Linked DNA regions of Sus scrofa. The protein of the gene in region 2 binds, or shares a complex with, the protein of the main gene of each other region. Links are inferred from orthologs where the notes say so. Each region holds a gene or a part of one and is shown on either strand. Other genes may lie near its edges.

The links.
Region 1: PPP4R2 (region 2) and PPP4R4 share a complex: the UniProt entries of both Homo sapiens proteins name them as parts of the PP4 complex. The link is inferred for Sus scrofa from reciprocal best matches to the Homo sapiens genes PPP4R2 and PPP4R4.
Region 3: PPP4R2 (region 2) and PPP4C share a complex: the UniProt entries of both Homo sapiens proteins name them as parts of the PP4 complex. The link is inferred for Sus scrofa from reciprocal best matches to the Homo sapiens genes PPP4R2 and PPP4C.
Region 4: PPP4R2 (region 2) and PPP4R3B share a complex: the UniProt entries of both Homo sapiens proteins name them as parts of the PP4 complex. The link is inferred for Sus scrofa from reciprocal best matches to the Homo sapiens genes PPP4R2 and PPP4R3B.

What each region holds. Positions count from the first base shown.
Region 1 is NC_010449.5:115,487,443-115,495,463, forward strand, and holds part of PPP4R4 (serine/threonine-protein phosphatase 4 regulatory subunit 4), read left to right. Parts: intron 1-504; coding exon 505-674; intron 675-998; coding exon 999-1,118; intron 1,119-3,439; coding exon 3,440-3,517; intron 3,518-4,823; coding exon 4,824-4,907; intron 4,908-5,520; coding exon 5,521-5,703; intron 5,704-8,021. UniProt on the Homo sapiens protein: Putative regulatory subunit of serine/threonine-protein phosphatase 4.
Region 2 is NC_010455.5:54,353,767-54,361,787, reverse strand, and holds part of PPP4R2 (serine/threonine-protein phosphatase 4 regulatory subunit 2), read right to left. Parts: intron 2,555-8,021; coding exon 2,384-2,554; intron 1-2,383. UniProt on the Homo sapiens protein: Regulatory subunit of serine/threonine-protein phosphatase 4 (PP4). May regulate the activity of PPP4C at centrosomal microtubule organizing centers.
Region 3 is NC_010445.4:18,258,627-18,267,144, reverse strand, and holds the start of PPP4C (serine/threonine-protein phosphatase 4 catalytic subunit), read right to left. Parts: upstream 4,329-8,518; 5' UTR 4,211-4,328; intron 3,985-4,210; 5' UTR 3,919-3,984; coding exon 3,821-3,918; intron 1-3,820. Other genes in the region: ALDOA (fructose-bisphosphate aldolase A), read right to left, coding at 7,186-7,281, 7,374-7,573, 7,723-7,897, 8,016-8,099, 8,434-8,518. UniProt on the Homo sapiens protein: Protein phosphatase that is involved in many processes such as microtubule organization at centrosomes, maturation of spliceosomal snRNPs, apoptosis, DNA repair, tumor necrosis factor (TNF)-alpha signaling, activation of c-Jun N-terminal kinase MAPK8, regulation of histone acetylation, DNA damage checkpoint signaling, NF-kappa-B activation and cell migration.
Region 4 is NC_010445.4:85,692,503-85,700,523, reverse strand, and holds part of PPP4R3B (serine/threonine-protein phosphatase 4 regulatory subunit 3B), read right to left. Parts: intron 5,438-8,021; coding exon 5,279-5,437; intron 4,070-5,278; coding exon 3,900-4,069; intron 761-3,899; coding exon 621-760; intron 241-620; coding exon 56-240; intron 1-55. UniProt on the Homo sapiens protein: Regulatory subunit of serine/threonine-protein phosphatase 4 (PP4). May regulate the activity of PPP4C at centrosomal microtubule organizing centers.

The DNA.
Region 1 (8,021 bases), on a different chromosome or scaffold from region 2:
GATCAGGTTAAACCCCTAGCCTGGGAACCTCCATATGCCACAGGAGCAGCCCGTGAAAAGGCAAAAAAAAAAAGACAAAAAATATTTTGAGTTTACTTTGCCATCTTTCAGATTCAGTTTTTAAGCTCCTTTTCTGTAGACCATAAGTGCATGTCTTTTTTGTAGGCAACTTTAGAATATTTACCATAAGTAAATAGCAGTAATGGCCCTATATTATTACGTAGTAACTTGTTAGTGGTACATACTGTGGTTCATGATACAGAAACTAATACAGGCCTAATTCTTGTGTGGCATTGTTTATACTATTGAAATTAAAATGAAAAATGAGGCTGAAGACCTGTTAAATTTCTTCACAATACTTTCTTCAGTGTTGCTTTTATTTATAATTTCTAACCATTTATTTAAATTTTGTTTCCAATTATGTTTTTATTGCACTTTGCTTTCTCTCTTTTTAATTTTTATTTTCAATTGAAATGTTGAACAAAGGTTTTACATTTATTTTAGGAATTTTCACTCCAGATCAACACTTGAGATTTTTGGAGTTTTATAAGAAACTTTGTACATTGGGTTTGCAACAAGAAAATGGACACAATGAAAACCAGATTTCACCCCAAATCTTAGAGCAGGAGAAGAAATATATTTCAGTACGGAAGAACTGTGCTTATAACTTTCCGGTAATAAAGTATATATTTGTATTGGATAAACATTTTGATTATAACTTAGAAATATGTGAATAGATAGCATTAAAAATATTTGACACTTAGTACTTGGCATTATATCTGGTGTACCTACTCCGTAGGTGCTGAGTAAATGTTGGTATAATTTGTATGAATCTCTAGGTATACATTGGAATTTATGCATGCCCTTGAATCTTCTGGATATGATTTCTAACTAAATTATTCAGAGGACATGGTTTCAGTTTAAGTGAAACGATGATGCTATTAGGTATTGATGCATGTTTTCCTCTCCTTCCTCTCATCTCCCTGCCACTTGCCCAGGCCATGATTGTTTTTGTGGATCCTAAAAACTTCCACATGGAACTCTATTCTACATTCTTCTGCCTTTGCCACGACCCCGAAGTACCAGTCAGATACACTATCGCTATTTGCTTTTATGAAGTAAGTCTGAAAAAGTGATACCACTTTACATTTGTTGTTAGTTGTTGTTATGTCTACCTATGTATAGAAGATGGTTTTTTGATGTTTCGTTCATTTCTGTTTACAGGTTAAAAGATATAGGCTCCATATCTCTTTCATATTCTAGTCCTAAATTTAAAATCATTCCCATCATTCTGTTTAGAATGTTTTCAGAATTCATTTACATGGATTATATTCATTTATCATGTATTAATTCATTCAGTATATCTCTACTAAGCCAGACATGGTGTGGATGTGGCTGTTGTTGCAGATTTGGACGTAAAACAAGTTTTAATATGCTTTATCATGTTTATATTTAACTTTGCACCTAAACTTAGGAACTTGAAACAAATGGAAAATTGAGAGGGAGATTGTTTATTTAAATTTACAGTTTTTACAGCAAACGGATCACGAGCATAGCCTTTCGATTCAGCTGTTACAACTGTCCATAGTGTGAGAGCAAAAGTGAATTTAAATTTTATGATGAATGTAATTAACTTTTTAACTCCCGAGGCTGAAATTCGGGGCCTGTTTCTTGAGTGATTGCAGTTAAGTTACATGTATGCTGTAATTGCAGTCAACATGTATGCTGTAATTGCAGTCAACATGTATGAACTATAACTTGTCAACTTCAAGACTGTCACATAAAAATATCTAAGTGGCTTAATAAAATATTTCCTTCCTTTATAAGGTATGTTAAATATTCTTATTCTCAGTAAGAATATTTCATCCCCTTCCCTGTGCTGTGTTCCTACATCACAGCACTGTTAGGTTAGCAGCATTAGAAATGTTGCTTAAGACACTTTTGGCTGTTGGCTGATAGTCTTTGCTTCTTTTGAATAACATTTTTTCTGGTGCGAGTGAAATGACATTATTCATTGTGCAAAATCTTGGAAATAGTCCCTTTAAATGGTATAATTAATTAAAATAATTCAGGGTTGAACAGTTACGTCACCTTTGTAAATATATGTATAAGAATGTGCTTTTGGAGGAGGAGAGGCCAGAGGACACTGGCTGGCTGAGTGAACTGCGTCTCTCCTTTATGTATTGAGCAGGCATTTAGGCTTGGTTACCATGCATGCTTGTATTTGTCTAGACCAGTGGTCGCCAGAGCTGGTTGCACGAGATAGAGTATGAGAAAGCAATATTTATGCAATATGAGTTTCTATTTGTGGTCATTTTTATCTCGTCCTTTTATTGTTATGTTTTATATTGGACATAATATGTTAGCACCATAGAAATAAACATATTGAAATATGTATACAAAAATATTTCACTAATAGAAATGAGTTTGGAAATCATCAATCTAGCTATTTTCTGCATGGCTAGTTTCTGTATTCTTATGTATTCTTACGTATTATCCTACCATGTAGGTAGGTTAAAATGATACTTTACTCCGTAAATGAATGGTTAGGTTAGGTTTGTCCTTTTAAATAATGAAAATACACTGGTTGATTTAAATGTCCCAGGGTTATTGGTAGATTCTGATACTTACTTTAGTATATTCTGAGTTTATTCTTTTTTTTTTTTTTAGAAAAAAAAATATATTGTGAAAATACTTTCAAGTCAAAACAATCCTGTAGAACAAAGGTTTTTAAAATACCTTATTTACCTTAGGACCCCCTTTTTCAAATAAACCTTACTCAGAAACTCAGTATGTAAAAAAATATATATATGTATTTAAAGTAACTGGTGAATGTACCATTGTATATTCGTTACCATTGCTTATCTGGAGGACACAAAACAAACAAAGACAATAAACAGTTCACAAAAAACAGTTCACAAAGGAGCTGGATTAGGCTGGACCCTCCCCACTCCTCTCTTGCTCCTTGAAGTCCTTGATGGGAGAAGTCTTAGATGTTTTGCTTGCTTGGGAGTTTTCTCTATCCCTGTGTGGCTGCTGGCCTGCCGTAGAACTTGCCCTCTCTGGAGCTCTGCACTGGGATGAATGCTTATGTGGCTGGGCTTCTTTATAAGACTCCGGTGGCTGCTCTAAGACTTTAAAATATGAATTAGAGGCATCCATGGGCTTATTATCGCTTGTGATAGGAAAGTGATGACTGGCTAACCGCCCCCCGACTCCCGCCCTCTGCACTCTTCCCACCCTCTGTGTCCACAGACCCCAACATGTCAGGAAGCAGACTAAAAAGCTGGTTATTCTTCTAGAAATCGAATTTTACATTATGTTGTAACCAAATCTTATCTTAGAAGAAAATTTAATAGAGATTATTTTTTTCATCGTTATTATAACCTTCATATGTCTAGTAGTCTCAACTCTGAGAGACTTTATTGCTGTATTTTAGGTGTCTAAACTTCTGAATTCTGGAGTATATTTAATACATAAAGAACTAATAACATTATTACAAGATGAATCACTGGAGGTAATATCTTCTTACTCTGGCTTTTACTTCTTTTATGTTATGTCTGAATATATCAGTGCCATTTTCCTTTTTTTCTTTCTTTCTTTTTTTTTGGGGGGGAATTGCATGAACTCTAAGAGCTGACTAGCCCCAGAAGCTTGAAATCAATGTACCACTTTATCATAGACTGGAAATAGGGAAGATATTTTTTAAATACTAGGTTTAACATATATTTATATATTTGTTAAGGAAAATTTTAGAAATGCCAAAAAGTAGACACACAAAAGAGTGCCTTTAGTTCTAATCACTGTTTATATTTTTATATTTTTTCATTTTCTATCTTTTCTATATAAAGTTTTTTAAAATTTTACACAATTTTAATCATATATCATATTTTATGTGTTTTTATTTCTTTTAGCATTGTTCGGGAAGTATGTTTCTGGAGGCTTTGAACTGGAAAGTTCCTAGGCCAGGGGTTGAATTGAAGTTGCAGCTGCAGGCCTAACCCACACCCACAGCAACGCCAGATCCGAGCTGCATCTGAGACCTACACCATAGCTTGCAGCAACGCCAGGTCCTTAACCCACTGAGTGAGGCCACGGATAAACCCACGTCCTCACAGATGCTATATCAGGTTCTTGACATGCTGGGTCACAATGGGAACTCCTGAAATACTTAATTTTTTTTTTTTGTCTTTTTGCCATTTCTTGGGCCGCTCCCGTGGCATATGGAGGTTCCCAGGCTAGGGGTCTAATGGGAGCTGTAGCCGCCGGCCTATACCAGAGCCACAGCAACACGGGATCCAAGCCGCATCTGCAACCTACACCACAGCTCACGGCAACGCCGGATCGTTAACCCACTGAGCAAGGGCAGGGTTCCAAGTTGGATTCATTAACCACTGCGCCACGACGGGAACTCCTGAAATACTTAATTTTGATGCTATTTTTAGTATATCATGTTTACCTAAATGCCTACTCACTTGCCAAATCTCAACGCTTCAACATTAGACATCATTGAGGGTGTCATCTGACTTCAACTGCTTTTCAAAAGTTGGGAGGCATTTTTGAGGTTGTTGTTTGACACTCTTTGAATAATATCAAGAGGCAGACACACTAATCTCCTTTCAAAGGTGGTTTGATCAAGGGTAGTATGTTTCTAAGACTTTCCAGCAAGAAGATGATAGAGCAAGAAAACAGAAACCCCCAAAATGCCGTTTGGTAAATAACACTACTTCTCTGTAGAAATTGACATGTAAAGTTAGTTAATTGATCTAAGATTAGGGAAACATAGCCATCACAAGAAGGGTAATCAATATCTCTATTAAAAGGTACTAGATGCTCTCATAGATCATCTTCCAGAAATTCTGGAACTTATGTCCACTGGTGGAGAAAGCAGTGTTCAAGAAAATAAGGTAAATCCTATCTATCAAAAAAGTTTCTGGATGTCATATGGTTACCTTACTTTACAGAGTTGTTGTGAGAAATCAGTGGAAAGAATGGTATGAAAACCATTTAAGATCGTGCTTAGTACATAGTAAAAGGTGGTTGGTAAATGTCTATTGGAGTTTGAACAGCTTGAATTTCCTCTATTTTTCTCACGTTAATGACCACAATCATTACTTATTGTCCCTCGGGTTTATTCTCATTATTTTTCCATTTTTATTAGCATTAATTCTTATTCCAAGAGCAGCAACCCATGAGGACAAAAAGTTAGGAATTGAGAAGGTCCAAGTTTGCTGACAGTGAAATAGCAAAGTTTACTTTAATTAGAGGGATTGTGACTCCCAGTCTCCTTCAAAATTTTGTTTCCAGTAATCACAAATTTTACCTGTAGGTTGTTTTTTTTTTAAAGTATTTGATTTCACTAAACGATTACCTCCCTGTTACAACTGAGATGCCTCCTAAGTTCAGAAATGAGCAAGAGCTTTTCCCTCGCCAGTGTGTTTAAGAGTGAAGAGTCTGGCTGAGTGCTGCAGCTGACTTACTTAATTATCTTGGATTCTCTTGATGTGTTTTCGTCTTCAGTTATCATCCCTGCCTGACTTGATTCCGGCTCTCACAGCAGCTGAGCAGCGAGCTGCAGCCTCTTTGAAGTGGAGAACTCATGAGAAGCTGCTCCAGAAATATGCCTGTCTCCCACACGTCATATCAAGTGATCAGATTTATTATCGTTTCTTGCAGAGAATGTTCACAATCATGATGACAAATGTGAGCCCAATACCTTTTATCTGATTTTTCTCTTGAACTGTTTTGGAATTAAGCAAATTCTCCACTGTCTTGAAGTACAGCAACGAACTCCGTTCATGCCCTTCTGCCTTGGAGGAGTGTTAGCTTTGCTGCTCCTTCTGATCAGCTTCCACCTGGAGGCGGGGAGGGAGAGGTGCACAGGGAGGGTGTCAACACGCTTCAGTGCGGGGGAGAGATGGGCGGGAGGCAGTGATCTCAAGTGCAGGGTGCCTTCTGTTCTGATGTGCACATTTCATGGTCATGGCTCAGCGAGGCCCTTTTGCCTTAGGGGTATCCCTTCAAGCCCCTTAATGTTAGTTTGGTTTAGTATCGTTCCTAAACAGTAGCTGGTAACAGAAAAGTTATACAAAAATGTGAATGCCCAACTATGGATAACCTCAAAATTAAAATCAAAAGCAGGGGGGTGGGGAGAAAAGACTTGTACTCAAATGTCCCCATAGAGTCAGTTGTCTACTTTTTTCATAAAAATTTCCAGAGGATTGTTTAACCTGCACTTCACTGTACACTGAATATGGCATCCTGCTACCATTTTTTGAAATATAAGAGTTCTGCATAATGTGTGTGTTTTAGCGACTATTAATAATGAAATATACGATCCATCTCAAAAACTCAAAATCAGTTTTAGCTTCAAAGATTAAAAGGAGAAAAAATGACATTACAGGTGTGACAACTTTAAAAAAAAGAAAAAGCACCTATCTTATGAATTAACACCTCTTCATGAAGTTTGTTTCATGCATCAAAGCAAAGCCTGGGGCTTGGAAGTTATTTTATAGATGAAATAATCTTAAAATAGTATTGACAAAAATAACTTTCTTAACAGAGGATAACGCGTGACTGTACCACATAAAAATTTTCACGTGAAAGTAGAATTTCTTATTTTACTCAGCAGTTGGTTATTTGAGTGTCTGCTGTGTGTCAGGCACTGTCCTAAGAGCTGGGGATGTAGGAATACACGAGACAGAATCCTACTCTAATGGACCTTGGCTTTAAAGTGGTGGTGGTGTGGGAAGTGATAAATAGGAAAATGGAATTAATAGAGTAAGTGGTGGTGATAAGTGCTATGAAATTTTATCTTAATTGTTTGCCTCAAGCTAATTACTTAGTAGGCATCTTTGTGTTTAGAAAGCTAAGAATGCATAATTATTCCATATTTTTAGCCTTTCTTATTAGGAAAGAGAAATGGTTTACACCACAGTGTGAACAAAATACTTTTAAGGCTGAGAGATTTGCTTTGTTTTCTTTTTTCTTTCTTTTCTTTTTTTGTCTTTTTAGGGCCACACTGGAGGCATATGACTTTCCCAGACTAGGGGTTGAATCGGAACAGTAGCCACTGGCCTATACCAGAGCCACAGCAACACCGGATCCTTAACCTACTGAGCAAGGCCAGGGATGGAACCTGCATCCTCATGGATGCTAGTCAGATTCATTTCCGCTGAGCCAAGAGGGGACCTCCTGCTTCATGTTTTCTTTTACAAGGAGGCTGTCCCACACTTAAAAGGACACACATGATTTGCTATAGCACGTTTTCCATCATCAAAAAACATGTATCCTGTTTCGATATTCTCTGGAAAAAAGATTTATGTTTTCAGTCTCGTATCTGAAGGTCATAATATTCATTCAGTCATTCATTTAACAAAACTTATTGAGCACTTAACTAGATGCCAAGTGCTATTCTGGATGCAGAGAACATAGTAATCAGTGGAAGAGATAAAGGACCAGTTCTCATGGAACTTTGAATTCTTTTTTTTTTGTCTTTTGTCTTTTTGGTGGTTGTTGTTGTTATTGTTGCTATTTTGGCGCTCCACGGCATATGGAGTTCCAGGCTAGGGTCAATCGGAGCTGTAGCACGGCCTACGCAGAGCCACAGCAACGCGGATCCGAGCCACGTCTGCAACCTACACACAGCTCACGCAACGCTGGATCGTTAACCACTGAGCAAGGCAGGACCGAACCCGCAACCTCATGGTTCCTAGTCGGATTCGTTAACCACTGCGCCACTACGGGAACTCCGGAACTTTGAATTCTATTAGGAGACAGACAACAAACACACACATGCATTTATAGTACATCAGGGTTGAAAAGTAAAAGAAAGAACTAAAGAGCAGCATAGAGGGAAGAAAGAGTTGGGGGGTAGGATGGTGTTGTGGATATAGTGGTCAGGAAAAAGCCCTCTCTGGCCAGGTGTGCTCTGTGCAGAGCTTGGACCAAGTAAGGGAGGGAGCACCTGGAGGGCTGAAGGGCAGGTGGTCCGGCAGAGGGAGGAGGGAATGCAGAGGCAG
Region 2 (8,021 bases):
TCCCAGCGTGGCGCAGTGGTGAACGAATCCGACTAGGAACCATGAGGTTGCGGGTTCGATCCCTGCCCTTGCTCAGTGGGTTAACAACCCGGCATTGCCGTGAGCTGCGTGCGGTGCAGGTTGCAGACTCGGCTCAGTTCCCGCGTTGCTGTGGCTCTGGCGTAGGCTGGTGGCTACAGCTCCGATTCGACCCCTAGCCTGGGAACCTCCATATGCCGCGGGAGCGGCCCAAGAAATAGCAAAAAGACAAAAAAAAAGAAGATGGGTCAAGTAAACTATAACTAGCATTATCCTAGTTTCTTTTCTCTATATATTCCGAGGACAACTAGGGATCTTTTTAAACTATTAACACACTTATGACACTTTTATAATTTGAAAGATAATCTATTACAAATAGCAGGAAAGGTATGCTGGCAAGGACAAACTTACATGTACTGAAAAAAAAAAATACAAAATGATACTTCTACCTACCACTCCCAGCAAAAATGTGTTTTAAAAGCCAACAACTAATCTGTGTATATTCAAAACACAAAAGTGAAATTGAAAAATATTATACACATTATTTCAATGTAGCATGTATCAATATACAGACAAAACATTTATGGTTCAAAGATGAAAAATGTTTTAAAAGCAACTATGTTTAATTATGCTTAGGCAGTTAATGACCAAGTCATTTTCAAAGGTAGGTCAATAACCTGTTTCAGAAATTAAGAAATTACAAATATTTAATTTATTTAATACCCATATATCTGTGTTTCATCCAGCTTAATTTGAAAGAAGTGAAAACAGTATTACTAATTCAGAACAAGTAAAGTAGCTTCACACTCACAAAGTAGTGGTATAATCTGACCTGTTTCACTGTAACTCTTATTTTAAAATGATAGCCATAATTCATTGAAATAAAAGATGAGTTCCTATAATATCTAAGTACTACCTATCTGCTTCTGCACTATTTAACAATATCCCCGGAGTTCCCATAGTGGCTCAGCAGAAACAAATGTGACTAGTATCCATGAGGAAGCGGGTTCAATCCCTGGCCTCCCTCAGTGGGTTAAGGATCCAGTGCTGCCCTGAACTATGGTGTAGGTGGCAGAGGCAGCTTAGCGTTGCTGTGGCTGTGGTGCAGGCCAGCAGCTACAGCTCCGATTCAGTCCCTAGCCTGGGAACATCTATGTGCCTCAGGTGAGGCCCTTAAAAAAACACCCAAGAGGTACTCTTAGGCACATTCATTTCAACAGTAAATCTTACATATTTCTAATACATAGCATGTGGCTTCATCTGGGTATGGGCTTTAAAAAAAAATTAGTACTTATAAGTAAATATATGCATACAATTAAATGATGTTCAATAATACAACAGGGTAGACAGTGAAAGTAAGTCTCCCTCCAATTCCAAATCCCCAAGGGCAGCTCAAAGATAAAGCTTTAATTTCTCCCAAAAGAAAAGTATTTTGGCAACAATACCTAAAACCAAAGCTTAAGGATTTGATATTTTAAACCAAACAAACTTAAAAGTGGGGAACAGTACATACAGCAAAAAGGTTATCTGAATTACACTATCTTGTTGCAAAATCCCATGTCATTAAGTATCTGAAGAAAAAAACAAAAGCATTTATGCTACCTAAAAATACAAATGAAATCCCTTCAAATAAAAATTGACCGTAAATATGAATTCATGGTTAACATAGACACAATACATCAGATTAGGTATTGTCACCACCCAAATTGTTAATAACAATCTAAATACTGAACAATTCAACTTTACAAATACTTCGTTCCTTCAATGAAGGAAACCGTAAAAATACAAAGTCCTAAAAAGAGAAATATTTAAAACAACATAGAGTATGACACACAGCCATTTAAAGGTCAGTTTCATTTCAGTGAAGAGTAACTTTCCAGAGCCATGTTTTACAAAGGGCTAAAATGGTTACTTACTGAGGGGAAAAAAAGGACTCCAAAAAATATTTTAAAATAAAAAGTCACTAAGCTGAATTCTTCCATAAATTGTTATTTTTCATTTTAAAAGAAATGTTACTTATCTCAATGTTAAACAGGTTCTAGACAAAGTATAAAAATTTATAACATTAAGTAAAAAATGGAAAGAAAAATTTTTAAATATTTCCTGATATCATTTCCACTGTCATACACATTTAAAATCTAAAATGCCACAAAACCATATAAAGATGATTCGAGTTTCAAAAAAAAAAGGTGTAACTATTTTAAATATATGTAAGCTGGAAATCAGTAACTACTATATATACCACAAGAGACAGAATTTATTCTAATGGATAATCAGTTATTAAAGAACCAGACACATCAGAACTAAGAGAACAATCACTGTTCAGCTAAAAATTAAACCTTTAAAAGTAGAATTAAATGCATACCCATTAAATCCAGTGACAATTTTCAGTATTCTTTCCTTCATTTCATCAAAAGGAATATATTCGACATTAGGGTTAGGAGGACCTCTTGGTTCAGGAGCTGAAGTTCTGAAATCATCCATCACTTTCTCCAGTTTGAAAATAAAATAGCCTTTAAATTGGGACCACTGAATCCTATAAGTAAAAAATTTTGAAAATGTAATACCATGTAGCTTGAACACAAAGCACAAATACAGCTTAAGATTTGGACAAGGAGTAGTGGGAGTGTGTTTCTTCAGTATCCTGTACCAGGCCTGATCAATATGACTCACACACTCCAACTTGGTTCCTTCTAAATTCTCCCTACTCCCGACCCAAACAAAATCTAAATCTCAGCTTAAAATCTTTAAAATTAACTATTTCTCAATTAAAGCTTATTGTCTAAGTCCCATTCTTCACATTTTTAAAACATTATTTTGACTCTGTTCCTCATAAAAACCTAACCAGGGAGGTGTTACTGCCCCCATTTTAAAGTAGGTTACTAGAAACTAGGCCAACTTTACAGTGATAATTTTAACTGGACAAATCAGAATGACTCCATACCTCAAGTTGTTATCATCCAAGCCATAATGCTTATAAGACTAGTAAATATTTCTTGTCTTGTATCTGATAAGTACCAAAAAAAAAACCCTTTAATTTCTCCTTTTTCTTTTGCTTTCAACTAATTTTTTAAATATTTTGTCATTTAAAAAGTATTTATCATAGGGTTCTATCCAAAATGTATCTTGCAAAGTAAAAATACATAATACATTATGTACATTCCATATCTATTCATGAATTTAACATCTTTTTATCCCGGTCCCCTCACATTCTACCACTAATATAAGGAAATTTTATGCTGATACCAGCCTGAATAGCCTAAATTACAGGAAATACAAGAGTGAGGAATGGCAACCATTTCTCCAAACATCTTAGACAAGAGACTACTCAGGCAAGATAAGACTACTACTCCATAGTCACTCTTCCATTCCATCCAGCAACCCTATAAACTAAGGCAGCAATTCTCTAAGTGTGGCCCAAGAGGTCAAAGCTATCTCCCTAAGAATAGAGATAACTTATTCACTGAGTTGACATCTGCAACGATGATTGGTGCAAAAACAGCAGTGAGTAAAACGGACGATACTTGCACAAATCAAGGCAGCAATACCAAACAATACTGGTAGTGATTACCTTCTTGTGTGGCTTGGATCCAGTGTTGCCATGGCTGGCCTCAGCTGCAGCTCCAATTGAGCCCCTAGCCTGGGAACTTCCATATGCTTCAGGTGTGGTCATAAAAACAAACAAAACAAACAAAAAAAAACCTTGTGCATCAAAGGGACACTATCAGAAAGAGTGAAAAGGCAACCCACAGAATGGGAGAAACTATCTGCAAATCATCCATCTGGTAGAGTGTAAATATTCAGGATATATATAGAACTCCCACAACTCATCAGCAAAAAACCAAACCAACTTATATAAAAACGGGCAAAGTATATTAACAGGCATTTCTTTAAAGATCTACAAATGGCCAACAAGCAAATGGAAAGATTAAATGTTAATCATTTGGGAAATGAACATCAAAATCACAGGAAGATAGAACTTCATTCACATCCATTACATTAACTATTTTAAACACACACATAAAATAACAACCACTGCCCAGTAGTATGTAAAGAAACCCTTATTCATTGCTTGTGGGAATATAAAATGGTGAGGACACTACGGAAAACAGTATGGTGGGTCCTCCTTAAAAAAAAAAAAAAAAAAAAAAAAAAAAAAAAAAATTAAAGAATTTACCGAATGATTCAGCAATTCCATTTCTGGACACTCCAAAAATGTGAAAACAGAAACTCAATCGCACGAAATTCACTTATACGCAACGGTAGGAACTACCCAAATGTATAAACAAAATGTACAATATATATGTAAAATGAAATACGGCCTTAAAGAAGGAAATTCTGACACATACTACAACAAAGAATCTTGAATACATTATGCTAAACCCTCGAAGTAAACCAGACACAAAAGAATAAATATTTTGATTCCACTTGTCAGAGGTAATCTAGAATAGTCAAATTCAGAGAGACAGCAGAAGGGCATTTGTCAGGGGCTTGGAAAAGGAATGGGTAAGAGGTTATTGTTTAATGAGTTGCAGAGTTTCAGAAGACAGATAAATAGCCAATAAGCACACAAAGATTCTTAACATTATTAGCCAGTACTCATCAAAATCACAAGATAGCATTTCTCACCCACTAAGGCTGTTATAATAAAAATGATAGACAATACAATAACAAGTGCTAGAGAGGATGAAGGTCAAGTGGAAACCTATACATGGATGGAAATGCAAAATGGTGTAGCCATTTTGGAAAAGTTTAGCTTGGCAGCTTCTCAAAAAGTTAAACAGAGCTGATATGTAACCTGACAACTCCACTCTGTTAAATGAGTGAATTACATGGCAGGTAAATTTTATTATTATTTAAAAAATTCATTCAGGGTCATTATTTAAAGCTATTTATATGATTACCTTTTCCCTCCTTTCCCAAGTTTTTTTCTGGGAAGGAGAATTTGAGGTTTAACAATCAGGAGGTGGCACATTGTAATTTTTGACTTGCCTAATATTAATTTCTGTGTACTATACTACTGTCAGTGATTACTAAAATTTAATCTTTAAATTTCACTACACTCCCTACAGACATTTAACTAATACTTAAACACACCAGGTAAGGTTACTGAAATAGGAGTCTTAAACTTTTCATTTCTTAAATTAAGAATTCTTCCTGTAGTTTTAACAATCACCCACTTAGTCATAACCTGTTTCACGAATTAGAATTTCCATACACACACAGTTTTCTAACCCATCTTCCCATTAACTGTTGGCAAATCTACCCATGACATCCAAACATCAACAACATATTAATAGGAATAGGGAGAGGAGAAGTGAAGGAAACTAGTAGGTAAAGCAAAACTATGAGGAGCATCAAAGACTCTAGATCAGTCAGGAATTAAATGCCATAAAATCAATTACGTACAACTTGTATTTTAAGTTTCGAATGTATCAGGTAAAGTTATCCTAAATCAGATCTGAGATGCAATTCAAAAGTTACTGTGCCATATACAATAGAAAAAATACGTGTGGAAAAAATGGAAGAATGCATTTTGATGCAACACAACCATCTGATAAAAACAAAAGCAGAAAATGCATCACTGGAAATTATGTAATTTGAGCACAAAACCACGCCATGAATAAATCAACTAAAAATTTGGCAACAAAAATAATTTTCCTAGTAATGTACTCATTGCATAAAAAGCTAAAAAACAAACAAAAAAACCCTTATTTTTCAAATGAAAATAAATTACTCTAAACAGATGCTCATGAAACATAAACACATATTCAACTTGAGAATCAATTCTTTCACATAAAAATTTCCTCCCAAGATAAAATACATACTCAGAATTTAAATCTACTTGGCTAGAATTAAGTATTTAATGAAATTCATTATCCATTAATTTTTTTAAGTAACTTCAACTCCCTCTTCTTCTCTTTCCCTTCCACTTTCCCTTTATGCAGCTTTTCCTCTAGAAAGGCAAAACAACTCAGATAAATATATCCTCCTACCAACACCACAATGACCTTTTTCTTCCAAAGGAACTCACAAGTCTATACTAAAACGAACATATTTCCCTGACAATGCTCAGGTTAAAGGTATTTTTTCACAGGTTCAAGAGCAAAATCCAACTGTTATTTCCTAGCCAGTTCTAGAACATTTTAGGGGGAAGTATCAAGTCACATCCTAACTTGCTGCCTCTTACAGTTCCAAATTCTACTAAGATTACTCCCTATTTAGCCTGTTTCCACCCAAAATCTGTGTGGAAAGCTAACAAAAGAGAACATGGGAGTGCTGTAATTACCTCCAAGGAACAGCACATACTGTACCACTTGTAAGCAAAGGGGAATATGGAAAAAGACAAATGAAAGAAAACAAAGGAAATTTAATGGGCAGTCATTGACACACAGTGACAGACTTTGAATCAGGACACAAAGTGTCAAAGAATTCAGCCTTAACTTTCTGAATGAAGCAAACAAAGACAAGTATATTTAATCTAAATATTGAATTACATGAGCGAAAGAAGAGCAAAAATAAGAACACAACTGCTTACACAAAATCATGACATTTTCATGAACTATAAAAATACAAATTACTAGTTCAGAAAACCTCTACGAGTGGGGCCCAATCTAAAGAGCATTCCTTTTGCCTAATTACAAAGTATATATATTATACTTTATTGAGCAAATATTAAAATATATCAGTGGAAGAGACAGCCCAGAAACAGGCCCACGCATAAATGGGAACTTGCTATATGCACAGACTTTTCAATAAATATTTTGAGAAATGACAAAACTACTACAAAATTTTACTAGAGTTTAAAAATTAAAAAGACGTCTGGTCTGTCTTCCCTTCTTCTGATTCCATAAATAGGATAGTCACTGGAAAAATTTATATAACACAGAAAGACAGAAACAAAATGAAAACTGTCCATAATGTGCCCAGTAATCATTACTAAAGTACATTTTTACTCCATTTTTTCACCAATATTTATTTTTTAAAAGAATCTAGGTTTGCTTCCAGCACATTACAGTTAAAAATAACTATGGTTAAAATCCCAGTAACAAACTTTGTAGGTGTGGAAAGTAACATGTCTTTTCTATCAAAGGAAATCTTGGTTACTCCATTTTGCTCTGGTTTCGGCTGAAACACCCCCTACGACCCCTTTCTTCTTTACCTCTTTTCCCAGCAACAATTTGTTTCAGGCCAACCGGGAAGAGTGTGCGCCCTGACCTGACCAATGGGAAGGGGACAGGTAAATCACCTGTGTTAGGGATAAATAAGGGAGAGTCCTTTGTTCTGAGTGCATGCTTTTTGGAGTACCCGTGCCCTTCTGCCGAAGTAAAGAGCCTTGTCGAAATTTCTCCTTGTCCACATGTCTCACTGACAACCTGAGCCAGAGTTATCTTAATTTCCAACATAGGCATCTGTTTATTATCTTGGACAGATTCCAATCAAGTGGAATTACCAAGTCAAAAGTACAAAATATAAACATTTTAGATACATATTTCAAAAGTCCCTGAGAAACACTCCATCAATTTACAGTGCTGTCAATATAGAAAAACCTATTTTGAAAACTGCATGCTTTCAAAACACTTAAATGTTTAACAGTAGAAAAACACTTTAATTTGTCTTTTATTGATTGCTAGCGAGTGATTTTTTACCTATGTTTACTGGCCACAAGACATTTTTCAGTTTGAGTAAGTCTTTTGCAATCCCTCTCCCCAGAGTTCCTCAATTTTAGCATCACTGACACTGTAAGCCCAACAATTCCTCATCAAAAGGGGATATCCTAATGAATTGTAAAATGGTTGAGCAGTAATCCTTTAAAATTATTTTTTGGGCCACAATTGAAGCATATGGAGGATCCGAGGCTAGGGGTCGAATTGGAACTGCAGCAGCCAGCCTACTCCACAGCCAATGCCTAATCCACAGCCACAGTAATGCCAGATCTGAGCCGTTTCTGCGACCTACATCAAAGCTCACCGCAACGCGAGATCCTTAACCCACTGAGCAGG
Region 3 (8,518 bases), on a different chromosome or scaffold from region 2:
TTATTTTTCTTTTTAGCGCCATGCCCTCGGCATATGGAGGTTCCCTGGCTAGGGGTGAATCAGAGCTGCAACTGCCAGCCTACACCACAGCCACAGCCACACAGGATCAGCCATGTCTGAGACCGACACCGCAGCTCATGGCAACGCCAGATCCTTAACCCACTGAGTGAGACCAGAGATCGAACCCACAGCCTCGTGGGTACTAGTGGGGTTCGTGTCCTGCCGAGCCACATAGGAAACTCCCACACCCGCTTCTCACAATGACCTCTCCAACTGCAGAAGAAACCGAGGTTTAGAATAGAAGGGGCAGGATCAAGGTGACAAAGCGGAAGCGTGGCTGAACTGGAGCTCAGGGACCTAGTATCCTAAGATTTTGTACCAGTCCCTTCCAGACTCCAGGTCCCCAACCCTGTCACTGGTGGCACATCACCAGTGCCCAGGGCTCACCCTTCACTCCACAACGCCGCCCAGCAGGAGGGAGCTAGATTACACATATCCCGTGTGTGTGGCAGCAGGCCAGTGGCTTCGGAATCAGTGCAACAGGGACAAGGAGCCTGGGGAGGGCCTGAGGCGGGAGGTGGGGCAGGAATCTGCTTGGGCCAGGGCACCAGGCCCTGGGCCTGCATATGCAGAAGCTCATCTGAGCTCTGTAAGGATTTCAAAGACTTGAAGAGGTACAGTGACCTGACTCAGGTCACACTGTTTATAGGTGACAACACAGGATTCCTACTGAAAAACACCTGATTCAAAACCCTCTGCTATGTGATGTGATTTCGTTTGATTTTGCTTTTTAGGGCTATGCCTGCGGCATACAGAAGTTCCCAGGCCAGGGGTCAAATCAGAGCTGCAGCTGCCAGCCTACACCACAGCCACAGCCACACAGGATCACAGCAACGTCTGTAACCTACACCACAGCTCATGGCAACGCCGGATCCTTAACCCACTGAGTGAGACCAGGGATCGAACCCGCATCCTCACGGATGCTAGTCGAGTTTGTGACCACTGAGCCATGACAGGAACTCTTGATGTGATGTTTTCAATAGGAGCAAGTTGAGCTCATGTGCTTTGGGCCTCTGTGATTCCAAGGACCTGAGTCTCCATGACGTCTGAGCAAGCTGAAGTGACTGACACTACCAGCCTCAGCCTGGCCCCTGGTGGGTCCCCAGGTGCTAGACCTACTGCCAGGTGCTAGAGTTGGTCCTCCTCCAGACTGGGCCTGGAACAGCAGTGGCCACCCCAGGCCTGAGGCTTGGACCTCCAAGCTCCACCTCGCTTTCATCTGGGCAGGACCCCACATCCCTCAGTAGCTCCCTGCTGCCTCTCACAGTCTAAATGTCTACCTGGCTGTCAGTGAGTGTGGAGTCCAGTCAAAGACCTGAATCCAAAACCAGCCTCCCCTCCAAGGAGCTGTAAGACCGGGGGCAAGACCTCTTCTCTGAGGCTCAGTTTCCTCTTCTGTGAAACACTCACCACTGCCTGCCTGTTCCACAGGCTGCAAAAAGCAATGGAGGCTGAACACCTAACTTCTGCTATTCTGAAAATTCCACTATGCTACCCAAGCATTAGCTGTCATCACCACCACACTGATCCAGGCCCTGTGGGAGGCAGAAGACTTTGAGGAAAAGAAGAGTGCCAGCCAGAAATGGGTTTAAGTTCCTAAAAATGCCAATCAAGACTGAGGGATGGGAGTTCCCATTGTGGCTCAGTGCCAACAAACCCAGCTAGTATCCATGATGATTCGGGTTCGATCCCTGGCCTCGCTCAGTGGGTTAAGGATCCGGTGTTGCCATGAACTGTGGTGTAGGTTGCAGATGCGGCTCGGATCCCCAGTTGCTGTGGCTGTGATGTAGGCCGGCAGCTGTAGCTCTGATTGGACCCCTAGCCTGGGAACCTCCATATGCCATGGGTACGGACCTAAAAAAACAACGACAAAAAAAACCCAAACAAACAAACAGAGAGAGATTGAGGGATGACTAAAAACATCTTGGGGCTGGTCTGGTCAAGGAAATATTTTTGAGCTGGCAAAACATGAAGAGCCACAGAACAGCGTTTAAAAGGGAGCCTTGCCTGTTCACCAAACCCATGCAGGCCCTGTGTGGCTGTGACAGGTCTGTGTGGGGCAAAGCCAAGCAAAGAGCCCAACGGCCAGCCAGCTCTGCCACCTTCTTGCGGGGAAGCCTTGGTCAAGTCCCCAGGCTTCAAGACGTCACAGCTTCCTGCTCTGTAAAATGGGGCAAATATTTCCAACCTCACAGCATTGCTGTGGGAAGGAAGTGGATATAAAGTTCTTTCAGGTGCTAACAGTGGCCTATTGGTCACAAATGTGGGGGTAATTCTGCTGGCTCTGTTTCTGCAATTCTCCAGCGTGGTGGAAACCACAAATAGTTCCTCAGGAGGCAGGTAATGGGTCTTGTCGTCTTGTCACCACTGCCCACACAACCCAGAGCTCCACTTTTTTTTTTTTTTTTTTTTTTGGCCATGCCTTTGGCAGGTAGAAGTTTCTGGGTCAGGGATTGAACCAGTGCCACAGCTGTAACCTGAGCTGCAGCAGTGACAATGCTGGATCCCGCTGAGCCCCCAGGGAACACCTTCCACTCCTATTCTCAGCCTGCTTGGAATGCCCTTCCTACTAGGCCTGCCCACTCAGCTGCCCAAATTATCCATCTTTCCAGGCCAACTTCTCTTTCAAGCCTTCACTAAGGACTTCAGTCCACATCAGCACTGCCCTCTTCCTACAAAGGAAGAACAGTAACACCCAACAAACATCGAGCACTTACAGTTTACCAAAGCCTATGCTAAGCGCATCCCTTACTCTTCACAGCCACCTCATTAAGTTCTAGAATCCCCACTTTAAATAGGAAGAACCCGAGTCTCACAGACCTCAAGATCACCAACACAGCTAGGAAGTGGCAGAGCTGATTCCAACCTAGAGCCACATTCCAAAGCCTGGCTCTTAACCACTACATCATCCTACTTCCCACAGAACTCTAAGCTAGGCTTCCCTTCAGATCTTGCTTAATTCTACTCTGGCTTATCTGCTTCTATTTCATAGGCTCCCACAAGGAGTATGAGTGTGATCCAACTCCACTTTCTTGCATGATGGCCTGAAAATGGACAGGACATGGAGAACTCGCTTCAGGCTTTACCCCTTACTCCTGAATGTAAGCATCCTCACCTGTGAGATGAAGACAATTCCACACACCTTTTTGGGTTGTTACTGGGATTAAAACAATACTGTAGGAGTTCCCGTTGTGGCACAGCGGAAACAAATTCGACTAGGAGCCAAGATGTTGTGGGTTTGATCCCTGGACTCACTCAGTGGGTTAAGGATCCCTCATTGCTATTGCTGTGGCTGGTGGCGTAGGCCAGCAGCTGAAGCTCTGATTCAGCCCCTAGCCTGGGAACCTCTAAGTGCCACAGGTGCGGCCCTAAAAAGCCAAAAAAAAAAAAAGAATACTGTAAACCAAATCTTCTTGCTGACATTCCCTTTTATCATCTTATTCTTCAAGGCCTAACCCAAAGTTCAGTTCCTCCAAGAAACGTTCTCTGTTCCCCCCCAGACAGACAAGGTTGTTTCCCTAAGCTTCCTAAGTACTTTCTGTAATTCCAACTCCACTGAAAACACATCATCTAATACTTCAGATATTTGAATCCAGGTCTGTCTTCCCCCAACAGGCCCGGCTGCTCCTCGAGGGAAGTGGCCCTATTCGCTCCTCTCTGGGAAAGCTTCCAGGATGAGCCAGGCCCAAAGTTCTCAGCTGGATTTGCCCCAAGCTTCCGGCCTCTGATCAGTGGCTGAAGCCTCTCTTCCCGGGCTCACCTGGCCTTTGCGCACAGGGCCTTGACTTCGCTCTCCTTGATGAGCTCGCAGCGCCGCAGCTGCTCGATCTGCCGGTCCAGATCGCTGATCTCCGCCATGGCCCACCCGCCCCGGAGCGGGTCAGAGCCGGGGCCGTAGCCCCCTCCGCACCGCACAGGGGTCTCCTGGGAAAGGCCAAGGAGAAGCCGCGGATCAGTGTCCTTAAGGGGCGCCGGGTCGGGGGGGGCAACTCGGTTCTGGAGCTGGCCCGGCCCCCCCAACTCCCGCCTCCCCTCACATAGGCCCCGGGGCCCCCAGCGTCCCACAGCCCGGGCCGCCCTCCGCTAACTCCCGTCGAACCCTGAGGTCCCGCGCCAGGGACGGTGGCCTAGAAGGGTCTCCGACTATTACCGACGCAGCGACTCCGGCTCCGGTTTTCGTGCTCCCTGTCTTCCTCTTTCCCTCCGCTTTGGGCCGCCGCCACCTCCGCTTCTACTTCCGGCCCCGCCGCGGAAGCAGAGGAACACCAGTTCCGCCGCGCGCCGGATGTGGCGTCATACACACGCCCCCCTCCCAAGCCGCGCCCTTACCCCACCCCCTCAAGCCTAGGAATGCAAATGAGCCGGAAGAACCGGATGTCTGCAATGTGCGAGCGGAAGTGATTGTGGGCTGAGCGGATTGGCGCTGTGAGGGCGGTGACGGACTCCACATCCGCTCCACATTACCGTGTCAGTGAAGGAAACTGGAACTGAGTCGGCGTTCCGCGTTGTAACTTCAGCGTACACGTTTCTGTTTACCTGTTTTAGTCGGCCTCCCCCATTACAGTCCCTGAGAGATGGAATTTTGTCCTGTTCACACTTGCAGCCCCAGTTCTCACTTAGAACATGGCCTGGCACAGTTGGCATACAGAACTCTTTGTTGGATGGGCGAAAGACTCCCAGTCCAAATCTCTTTCCAAGGCCCAAGAGACATCTCTCCGATGGAGGACCTCTGAAGTTAGAGTCAGAAAGGAGTCCACCTTCCCCACAACAAGCTTATACCTCAGTCAACCTGACTTCCCTGGTTCCAGAAAGGTCTCTTTGACACCCCTCACCCCTGCTCTTGTCTGCAGTTTTATTCCTTTAAAAAGAAGGAGGAAACTGGTGTTCCGGTTGTGGCTCAGGGGTACGGAACCCGACTAGTATGCATGAGGTGAAGGGTTCCATCCCTGGCCTCGCTCAGTGGGTTAAGGATCTCTCTTGCTGTGAGCTGTGATGCAGGTTGCTAGATTGCAGACGCAGCTCAGATCTTGTGTGGCTGTGGCTGTGGCAGGCAGATTCAGTCCCTAGCCTAGGAACTTCCATATGCTGTGGGTGCAGCCCTCAAAAAAACAACAACAAAAAAAGGAAACTGGCTAAAAGAGATTAACTTCCACAGTTACATAGCTAATAATTCTGGGCTTGGGTCAAGGTTGATGTTTTAACCTAGGAAAGCTGTGTCCTCAAGGTCTGGTCTCTTCTGTCACACTTTCTGATGCTCACTTTGTCATTATAAACTTTATAAAACACTCCAAACTGACATTTAAAGTCCTCTGCTTCTTTAGTCTCTTGCTGCAGGCAGAGGAAGCGATTTGTCTTGAAACAAACCTCTTGGTGTCAGAGCCCTTTTGGAATGTCTTTTATTGTCTTCTATGGGCCCTCTCTTTTTCTTTTCTTTTTTTTCCTAGTCTTTTTGCCTTTTTTAGGGCCGCTCCTGTGGCATATGGAGATTCCCAGGCTAGGCGTCTAACTGGAGCTGTAGCCACCGGCCACGCCAGAACCACAGCAATGCAGGATCGGAGCTGCGTCTGCGACCTACACCACAGCTCATGGCAACGCCGGATCCTCAACCCACTGAGCAAGGCCAGGGATGGAACCCACAACCCCATGGTTCCCAGTCGGATTCTTTAACCACTGTGCCATAATGGAACTCCTAGAGCCTCTATTTCTGTTTGCTTCAGACTTTGTTTCACGGAATTGAGTGAGGCTAGGTGCAGAAGTGAGACCATAGTTTGGAGAGGCACTAGGTAAAAATTTGGTTCTGGATGTAGGCAACAAATGGGAATGTACAGAGAGAAGGAAAAACCAAGTTCTTAAACTCCTAGAAGTTTCCAGGTTTCTATGCAGATGACTATAGGGATTCAGTAGGTACAGAAATCATGTTGTTTTTCCTCTCTCTCCAGCGGATCTCAGCAGGAAAGGGTCCATTTTAGGAGATTTGGGAGGTGGCAGGACTAGGTAGGCCCCTGGTTATGACAAGGATCTTTAATATTCCCCCAGCCTGGGGAAATGGGAAGGGTTCAACTCATGGCACAGGGCCCTCATTCTGACTTCATGGAATGCAGGAGCCACAGAGGTTCAGTTCTCAACTGGGAATCAGCTCGAGTGTGGATGTGCATTGTTGAGGAGGGTGTGTGGAAAGATTCCAGGGTTTTGTTTTTTTGGTTTTTGGCCTCATCTGTGGCAGGCGGAACCTCCCAGCCAGGGACTGAACCCACACCACAGCAGTGACAACGCTGGGTCCTTAATCCGCTGAGCCACCGGGAGACTCCCAATTCCAGATTCTTCAAGGGATTCCACAGCCCAGAGTCTAAGAAGCCAGTTCTAATCCCATCTCCTATTAAGATGGGAAGACTCACAGGTCAGCAGTGAGGTAGATTAAGGAGAAATGCATTCATAACCTCGTTTTCACCAAGAGACAGTTAGGATCTCTGGCGCGATCACCTTAAGGACGAATTGGGAGTGACAGCACCTACTCCTATTGGATGCTTATGTTAAGCCTGCCTTGCAGATTCAGGAAATCTTAGTTTTTGTCAGTGGCTGTTTTTTTGGTCACAGGGCCCCCCTTCTCTGTACCTGTGGGTTCTGGGCCTAAAACTGAGGCTAAAGCTGCAGCCTCCTAAGACCAGCAGTTACACGTGCACTCCCCACCTGGAAGCCTTGTATCAGGGGCTGCCGGTGGAAGAAGCAGAGCACTTGGTGGTGGGAAGAAAATTCCCAAGCTCTTCTCTTGAAGCCCTGGGCAGGTATTGAACAGAGTATATGCTATCCCATCTCCTGGTTTTCTGCCCCAGCCAGAGGAACATAAAGCAAGGGCTGTGTCTTCTGCCACCTCTGCCAGCCCTCCCCTGCCCCAAACACCACAGACAAGGTCACCACACTCCCCCTTCAATGGCTGTTTATTGGCAGTAGGCTCGAGAGGGTGATGGAGTTAGCGTATACAGACAACACCAGGCACCAGTGTCACGAGGGAGGCAAAAGTGTTGGGAAAGGGCGGCCTGGAGCCCCCGAGGCCCCCTCTCTTGGAGAGGGAGGGTGGGAGGGGGCGGGGCCTGGCGTGTTGAGGGGGCAGCCTCAGCACCTCCCCGCTTAGTAGGCATGGTTAGAGATGAAGAGGGACTCGCTGGCGGCAGCCCCCGCCTTACCGCTCGGGGTGTACTTTCCTTGGCAGGCAAGGCTGTTGGCCTAAGAGGGGAGAGGAACCAGAGTGAGAAGAAGGTCCCTTCTCTGAACCCTGTCCAGCCCAGCGCCCTGCCCACCTCCTGCCCCAGCCTTACCAGGGCTCGCTTGACATATTCTTCCTGGGCGGCCTTCAGGTTTTCCTTCTTTCCGCCCCAGGCCTTCAGGGCCGAGGCCTGCAGGGCTCGGCCGTAAGAGAAGGTCAGGGCCCACGGCTTCAGCAGGGGGCACTTGTTGATGGCGTTGAGGTTGATGGAGGCCTCCTCCTCGCTCTGGCCTCCGGAGAGGAAGGTGATCCCTGCAGACCAAGGGGAGGGCTGTGGTCAGAGACCCAGGGGGCTGGCAGAGGCCCTAGACGCTGGGCTGGGAATCCGACCGCGTGAACACAGGGACGAGGGGTCGAGTTCCTCGACCTCCCAGAGGTCAAGATGAGGGTGTGGGTCTCACCAGGGACAGCGGGGGGCACTGTGCGGCGCAGCGCCGTGACAGTTGCCATGGCAATCTCCTCGTGAGAATATTTCTGGGTGCAGGCGTGGCCTGGGGTTACCATATTGGGCTTCAGCAAGGTGCCTTCCAGGTAGATGTGGTGGTCGCTCAGAGCCTTGTAGACAGCAGCCAGCACCTAGAGCAGTGGGGGACCAGAGGGAGAGGGAGGTGGAGTCGGGGGACAGGGGTCAGACTCGGGGCCCTGGGCCCAGCTCCCCAGCCCACCCCACTGGCCAGGTAGACAGGCACCCTACCTTCTCGGTTACATACTGACAGCGTTTCAAGTCATGGTCCCCATCGGGGAGGATCTCGGGCTCCACGATGGGCACAATGCCATTCTGTGGGGTGAAGGACCGGGGAGCTGTGAGGCCTCCTATCCCAGAGCCCCAGCTACAGCTCTCTGCAGCCACTGGCCAAGATCCTATCTGCATGATGACAGACTCCTGGCTTCACGGCTGATGTCAGAGATGAGGCCTCTCCGCAGATCCACCCCCACCCCCCGCCCCCGCTCTCTGTGCACACGAGCCCTCCCCGGGCCCAAGCTCGATGCTTGGTGAGGATCTGGAGCGGCTGCCTTGGGGGAGGCAGGGATCCTGGCAGATGGGGGGCGGGCTAGCGGACACCGAAGCAGGAGGAGGTGGGAAGTGGCCTGTTGGGGACCTGCAGGCCCACCTGCTGGCAGATGCTGGCATAACGCGCCAGGACGTTGGCGTTTTCCATGATGGCGAGGGAGGAGGGGGTGTGCTCCCCGATCTTC
Region 4 (8,021 bases), on a different chromosome or scaffold from region 2:
TAATTTCTGCACTAAATAAGAGAATGTACTAATCAAAAATTCAAAATTTTAATACCTTTTTTCGTCTCCATGAATTTTTCGTAACTATCTGGAAAATCATCTTCAGGTTTAGATTTTTCCACTGATGCCACAACTGGTTTTCCTTCCTCCTCTTCATCTTCATTAAACCACATTTCTTCATCCTCTTCCAAGGTCTTTGCATCTCTGCGAAATCTGTTACTACGCAATATAGATGGTACACTGTAAGAAATATATTACAAATATTGAGTATGATTTAAAATTCCTGACCAGATTAAATTTGAGAAAAAATATGTATAACCAAGAGGGGCTGAAGTAATTTTAACTGAGTATAACATATCATAATCAGCTCACTTGTGATATAAGATGTAACCAGAGAATAGTCCAAGGATGTTTGTACATTAATTCAAAAATTTATCTTGAGTAATGATATGGAGCAGTAATTTTTCACATAAAAATTCAGGGCAGGGAGAATATCCTACCCTCCTACACAACCCTGTTCTAACTAATGATGCAAAGAAATGTCCTGGGTAAATTTCATAGGTAAGATCAAATTACACATGATTTTGGACACAATTTTACAGGCTATAAATAAACATTACCTGTTCAGTTTCTGATTTTGTCTGTCTTTTTCTTGCTCATATTTAGTCTTCAATCCTTTGAATGTCTGAACATATTCAATCGATTCAAGTGCTTTATAAAAGTTTTCAACTATATGTGCAGTAAGAGACTTGATATCTTCCTGTATAAGCACAAAATTTATATTTCACATGTAATACAATGCTTCTTAGAAGAAAAACTTAAAAAAAACTTTTATAGTTTCAAACCTTTTGCAAAAAAGGTTTTTCAGAATCACCTTCCAAAAATAAATACCCTAGTTTCTGTATACAATGAGCCAGGACCACACAGTAAACTTGGAAAAAAGGAGAAGCAATTGACTGAAGCCCTTTTGGGACTATAAAGAATATTTGAAAAGTAAATGGATTTAGTTTATGTCACCTATTTTTTGCATTTACATAATAGCACTTTACAATTTAAATAGCACTCTAAGGAATTCCCGTCGTGGTTTAGCAGAAACAAATCTGACTAGTATCCATGAGGACACAGGTTTGATCCCCGGCCTCCCTAAGTGGGTCAAGGATCTAGTGTTGCTGTGAGCTGTGGTGTAAGGTCGCAGATGCAGCTCGGATCTGGCATTGCTGTGACTACAGTGGAGGCCAGCGGCTACAGCTCCAATTCGACCTGTAGCTGGGGAACCTCCATATGCCATGGATGTAGCCCTAAAAAGGCCAAAAAAATAATTAATTGAAAAAAAGCACTTTAGGAGTTCCCATAGTGGCTCAGCAGTTAGTGAACCTGACTTGCATCCATGAGGACGTGGGTTTGATCTCTGGACTTGCTCAGTGGGTTAAGGATCTAGCACTGTCATGAGATATGGTGTAAGTCGCAGATGCAGCTTGGATCCTGGATTGCTGTGGCTCTGGAGTATGCCTGAGGCTACAGTTCCAACTGGACTCCTAGCCTGGGAACCTCCATATGCTACGGGTGCAGCCCTAAAAGACAAAAAAAAAAAAAAACCCAAAAAACAAAAACCCACTTTAAAACATTTTTACTTGATCCTCATAACAACTCTATGAGATAGGTTTTATTCTCCCCATTTTACAGAATGAGAAAATTGAGGCTATAAGAAAGAATGGATGGCTTGATGAAGACTGCATGGCTACTTAGGAAGGACATGTTGAAATCATATTCTCAGTGAACACTGAAAGGTATTACTAAATGACTTCGTTCCACTATCAAAACGGGATATGCCTTACCTAAAAAACAGATTCCTCCAACTGCAGCACACTGTAGACACATATGTATGAGATAAAATAATTTGAACTTCTCTCGTATGTTTTTACAGTTCTCTAGTGGTATCATTTTTGTGAACTAAACCAAAAGTAATAACTTCTAAATTATTCTAAATGAACCATTTTAAGTGATCACTGCAGATGCATGGGTACAAAGCTAGCTCATTATTAAAAATAATTAAGCTCTGATTTTTAGGATTTAATATTAGTAAGAAATATACACATCACTTCTTTAAGAGAAAGACCATATCTGGCTGCAGTGACGACTTACACGTCTTTAAACTAGTTCCTCAGCACACCTCAATCAAAAAATACGCAAAGGAGAAAAATTAGAAACCTAGGTAAAATGGTTGTGTGTTGTAAACTGAAACACAAACAGATAAACTGAGTTTTTGGATTCAATGTACATTTATCAATCACTCAAAGTTATTTTCAGAAAAACAAATTCAATCAAAAATTAGGGATGGGGCTGTGAACCCTAAAATTCATTTTATCAGCATCTCACCAAGATTTTTAAAGGGAAAAAAAATATATAAGTTCATCTTTAACTTATAGAATAATACACTGTGAACCTGGGTTCAAACACTTGGTGAACTTGTTAACTATGTTGCTTTTTTTTTCTAAGGCTAAGGCTAGTACTTCTATCCTCGTCATCCTTTTTGCAAACCATACTCTTAGCAAATGACTACTTTAAAAAAAACCAAAAAAACAAAAAACAATCCAGTCAGCCAAATAACCTTTGCAAGAGAATAGCGTCATTCATCAGTACAAATCTGATTTCTAAGAAAGAAAACTAGACAATGAATTTCTAGTTTTGACCTTTTTTTTCAAGTTCTTTTTAAACCATGTGGCCATGTCCCCCAGTGGAATCATTTCAGCATGTGGGAGAGGGTAAATTTACTGTACTGGTTCTTCAGTTATTTGTCTTATCCCTGTTATTCATATAGAGCTCTCTCCAGATCTTTTTATGATAAATCTTCTGTTGTCTGAGACTGAGCTGTACCTTAGCATTCAGGCCTGACTGTGCTCCCAACCAAATGAATGCCCTTGAATAGGTCAGCCAAAACCACTCTGGGTGTCTCAAACCCTTCATGAATGAAATAAGGCAGCCGGAATAGTCTACCTAACTTCCTGGTCTCTTTAACTTCAAATTCCATGATAACATCCTACCCTCTTATGCATCTTGTATCAATGTCTACCAAGGGAATTATTTTTCAACCTTTCTACTCAATTGTTTTTTTTTTTTTTTTTTTTTTGTCTTTTCAGGGCCACACATGTTGCATATGGAGGTTCCCAGGCCAGGAGTCGAAGTATCTATCTATCTATCTATCGATCTATCTATCCTCATAGATACTAGTCAATCTATCTATCCTCATAGATACTAGTTGGGTTCATTTCTGCTGAGCCACAAGGTGAACTCCTCTATTCATTTTTTTTTTTTTGTCTTTTTTAAGGGCCACACACATGGCATATGGAGGTTCCCAGGCTAGGAATCCAATTGGAGCTGTGGCTGTGGTGTAGGCCAGCAACCTCATGGTTCCTAACGGATTACCCTTATGACAGGACACAGTGATCACATGAATGGCATGCTTGACTGCCATGGTCACATATGCTAAATACCCTAAAACTTTTGGCCAAAACAAATGAAACTGAAAAGAATATAGAGTAAAATAAATATGGTTTAAAATATTATGCTGAATTTCACAATTAACATATTTCCTTCATGGCTCAGCAGTAACAAATCCAATTAGTATCCACAGGACATGGGTTCAATCCCTGGCCTCACTCAGCGGGTTAAGAATCCGGCATTGCTGTGAGCTGTGGTGTGTGCTGCAGACGTGGCTTGGATTTGGTGTTGCTGTAGCTGTGGTGTAGGCTAGCAGTAATAGCTCTGATTTGACACCTAACCTGGCAACTTCCATATGCCGTGAGTGCGGCCCTAAAAAGTCAAAAAATAAAAATAAAATATTAATATCACTAAACATATAATTATTTTAATTTACTAAGAATCTTTTAATATAAACTTACCACTCTTATAAATTCAAATAACTCAATAACAGCTGAATTCAAGAGATTGTACCGAGTTCCATTATCCAGAAGAGCATTTATAACTGGCTCAAAAAGATTTCCCTTGGTGATGTAACGATTATAAAATTCATCTTTAAGGCCAATTATCCGCCTCATAAAACGAAGAGCACCTAATTAAAAATACCATAAGGAATTAGTTGATAATCCCACCAATATTAATTATTACACAGGTATTTTTACAAAAAGCAATGTTTATGTTCTTCTAAAGTAAAAGCCAAACTGTACTAGGCTTTGAGATAAACGGAATTACAGAAAGACCACTCAAAACTTGTACACTTATGTAGAGAGCTAACAAAACTCCCAATAATTGGTAGGCTGACAGTTCCAAGGAAGAGATTAAAAAATACCCCAAAACCATACAATGCAAATGCTGGTACTCCTTAGAGTAGTGCTGGTGGATGCACAGACAATGCAGTGAATGCAGCTCAAAATCAGAATGGGGTTTGTCATTAAGGGGGGGGGACAACTATATTAGAATATAAAATAAAAATTAACTTAAAAAATGTTGCTCAGCTATGTTTAAGAAAAATATTAAAAATGTTACTTCACATTGTATCCAACAACTTCAAGTACTATTCAGGGGCTGAGATTTGTGTGTTCTGATCCTGTTTCTATCTACACATATGTAAATCTGTATAGGTATGGAAAAATGAAAAGAAATATACAGGCAGTTAAGAACAGCTACCGTAAGGCCTTAAAAATATAGGAAGTAGTAGGGAGACTAATTTTTTTTCTATACATTAAATGTTTAAATTTGTAATTATGATTTTTATGCTCAGAAAAAACCCCACAAAGCTTTTTTTTTTTTTTTAATTTGGAAAGAGAAGGTTTATCTCTAATCAGCAGGTGAAATTATGAAGAATAAGTTTATAGTCTGCAAAAAATCAACACGTGAGCAAATATCAGCATTTAAGTTTGATTTTCAGTGGTCCAAGTGGTCCCCATAAGTTCAAATAAATAACCTGAGTTACCACATATACATTTCAAGACCCATATCTCAAAAATATAAATGGCAATTTGATGAAGCAGTTATAAAAGACAGCAGGAGTGGTTCTATTAGAGATGTCATTGCACATGGTATTATATCAAAACAGTTAAGCTAACTGAATCTAAATGTTAACAATATGTGAGTGGTAAAACACTATGACCACTTGTCCTTTAAATAAAACAAAATATTAGTACTTCTCACAATCACCTCTTTAACAGTATATGCACTGCTATAAAAAAATACTTACATGGGTAACTTAGGTTTCTCTTTCTATTAAAAATGTTGTTCCACAAAACATTTTACAAGAGTGTACATTTAAATTGTTACTTACACAAGGCCAAGAAGGTGTGCTTTGAATTCATCAAGACCAAGACTCTTCTTAGCAAGTCTTTGTTCATAATATAGTTTTTTATGTGATATGTGTGATGTTCCACACAAAATGTGAGTAGCTCTAAAATTAAGGCAAGCAGCTGTGCTGTTTGATAATTATCTACAAAGAAAGTCATCATATGAAAATAAACATCGCAATACATCTAAACAATGAGAATGAAGCATATATCCTATCTTTCAGAGCAAAAGTAAAATTGTATTTCCTCTCTATTTTTATATCAAGAAGCTACAAATTTTAATTTTTTCATTAGGTAGACTCTCTAGAAGTATTAGCAGTTTTACCCACCAAATAGACATTGTCTTTCCTTTTTTTTTTTTTTTTTTGTCTTTTTGAAGGCCGCACCAGCGGCATATAGAGGTTCCCAGGCTAGGGGTCAAATTGCAGCTGCAGGTGCCAGCCCATGCCACAGTCACAGCCACATGGGATCTGAGTCGCATCTGCAACCTATACCACAGCTCACAACAACACTGGATCCTTAACGCACTGAGCAAGGCCAGGGATCAAACCTGTGTCCTTATGGATACTAGTCGGGTTCATTAACCACACAGCCATGATGGGAACTCCATAAATAGATATGTTCTAAGGCTCCTATATAAAATATTTAATAATGTTAAGAGGAAAAAAGACTCAATAAAAATCTATAAACATGGTAATAAAACCCTCACTGCATTGAGATATTCTTGGTAATGTTTTCTGAACATGTGCTGTCATTATTATTAATGGATCTATAAAAGAATCCACTCCATAGGAAAGAGGAAATACCTTAAACTTTTTGCTTAAAGTGGGGTACGACAAATTTCCCAAGAAAAATTAAAATGCCTTCTTTAAAAATATCTTTGGAGTTCCCATTGTGGCTCAGTGGTTAACGAATCCGACTAGGAACCATGAGGTTGCAGGTTTGATCCCTGGCCTCGCTCAGTGGGTTAAGGATCTGGTGTTGCCGTGAGCTGTGGTATAGGTTGCAGACATTGCTCGGATCTGGTGTAGGCCGGCGGCAACAGCTCCGATTAGACCCCTAGTCTGGGAACCTCCACATGCCGCGGGTGCGGTCCTAGAAAAGACAGAAAGACAATAAATAAATAAATAAAAATAAAAATATCTTTAAAGCAAGGATGTTTTTGGCTGTTTGAAAATCAACTGAAAATTATATCAAGATTTTTAAACAATAATCTTCCTTACATCAAATCATCATCTCCATGAAACGCTTACTGAAATACATCAGCTTTGTTCTTCCTCAAGAGGCTTTGGTTTATACATTCATGGAATGATTTAAAAGTGCTTCTTGAACATCAAAATTTAATATATGTCGAGAGTTCCCGTCGTGGCTCAGTGGTTAGCAAATCTGCCTAGGAACCAAGAGGTTGTGGGTTCGATCCCTGCCTCGCTCAGTGGGTTAAGGATCTGGCGTTGCTGTGAGCTGTGGTGTAGGTTGCATATGCAGCTCAGATCCGACGTTGCTGTGGCTGTGGAACAGGCACGCAGCTACAGCTCCGATTGGACCCCTAGCCTGGGAATCTCCATATGCTGTGGGTGCGGCCCTAAAAAGGACAAAAAGACAAAAAAAAAAAAAAAATTTAGTGTATGTCAAGAGCTTATGTGGGTAATTACACACATCTATTATAAATATCTTGAGCAAGAAAATATCAAGCTGTGAAGAAATTATGGAATCATAGCCTAACAGAATAGAAAAAAATAATGGACATCATCTAGTCCAGCTATTTCATTTTTCAAGAAAACCAGACACAAAAATTTTGTGGAATATCATGTAAGTTATAAATCAGCATTCTTTTTATTTTTATTTTTTCAGGGCTGTACTTGTGGCGTATAGAAGTTCCCAGGCTAAGGGTTGAATCAAAGCTGCAGCTGCTGGCCTACGCCACAGCAACATGGGATCTGAGCAATGTCTGTGACCTCTACTATAGCTCATGGCAATGCTGGATCCTTCACCCACTGAGGGAGGACAGGGATAGAACCTGTATCCTCTTGGATACTAGTTGGGTTCTTAGACTGCTGAGCTACAACGGGAACTCCAAGTCAGAATTCTTTTAAATAACATAATGACCATCAGGTATACAAAATATAAAAATTCTGATATTTTAAAGATCTTTTCTGCTTTAAAGGTAAGTAAAGAGTTTTACTTGCTTCAGATCAATTTGTATAACAGGCATCACCACAGCCAATAAACTAATTCCTCACCATTAAAAACAAATTCTCTTAATTCTTAATTCTCGAATTTTATTTACGAAAGGCTTTGTAATAGTGATCTGTAGTGTTAATTAAAAGTCTTGTTTTCACTTTCCTATATTAGGACATGAAATTACTCATTATATCTTTATTAACCCAATCTCTGAACTGTTTGCTTATTTGAACCTGGCTTTCCTAGCTAGATTTTTGATGAGCGTGGTAGGAAAGACAGGATGCTATGTACACACAACATATTTTTCATACTAATATACCTAATATGCATGTTCCATGTAGAAGCAAGTGTTTACACTCAGATTCATGAACAATACCTAAGCATAAGACTACTATGAAGGCTAATTCCTAACCAATTTGCCATAGCTTACTAGATTTAAAAATAAGAATGGGGAGTTCCCTTCGTGGCGCAGTGGTTAACGAATCCAACTAGGAACCATGAGGTTACGGGTTCAATCCCTGGCCTTGCTCAGTGGGTTAAGGATCT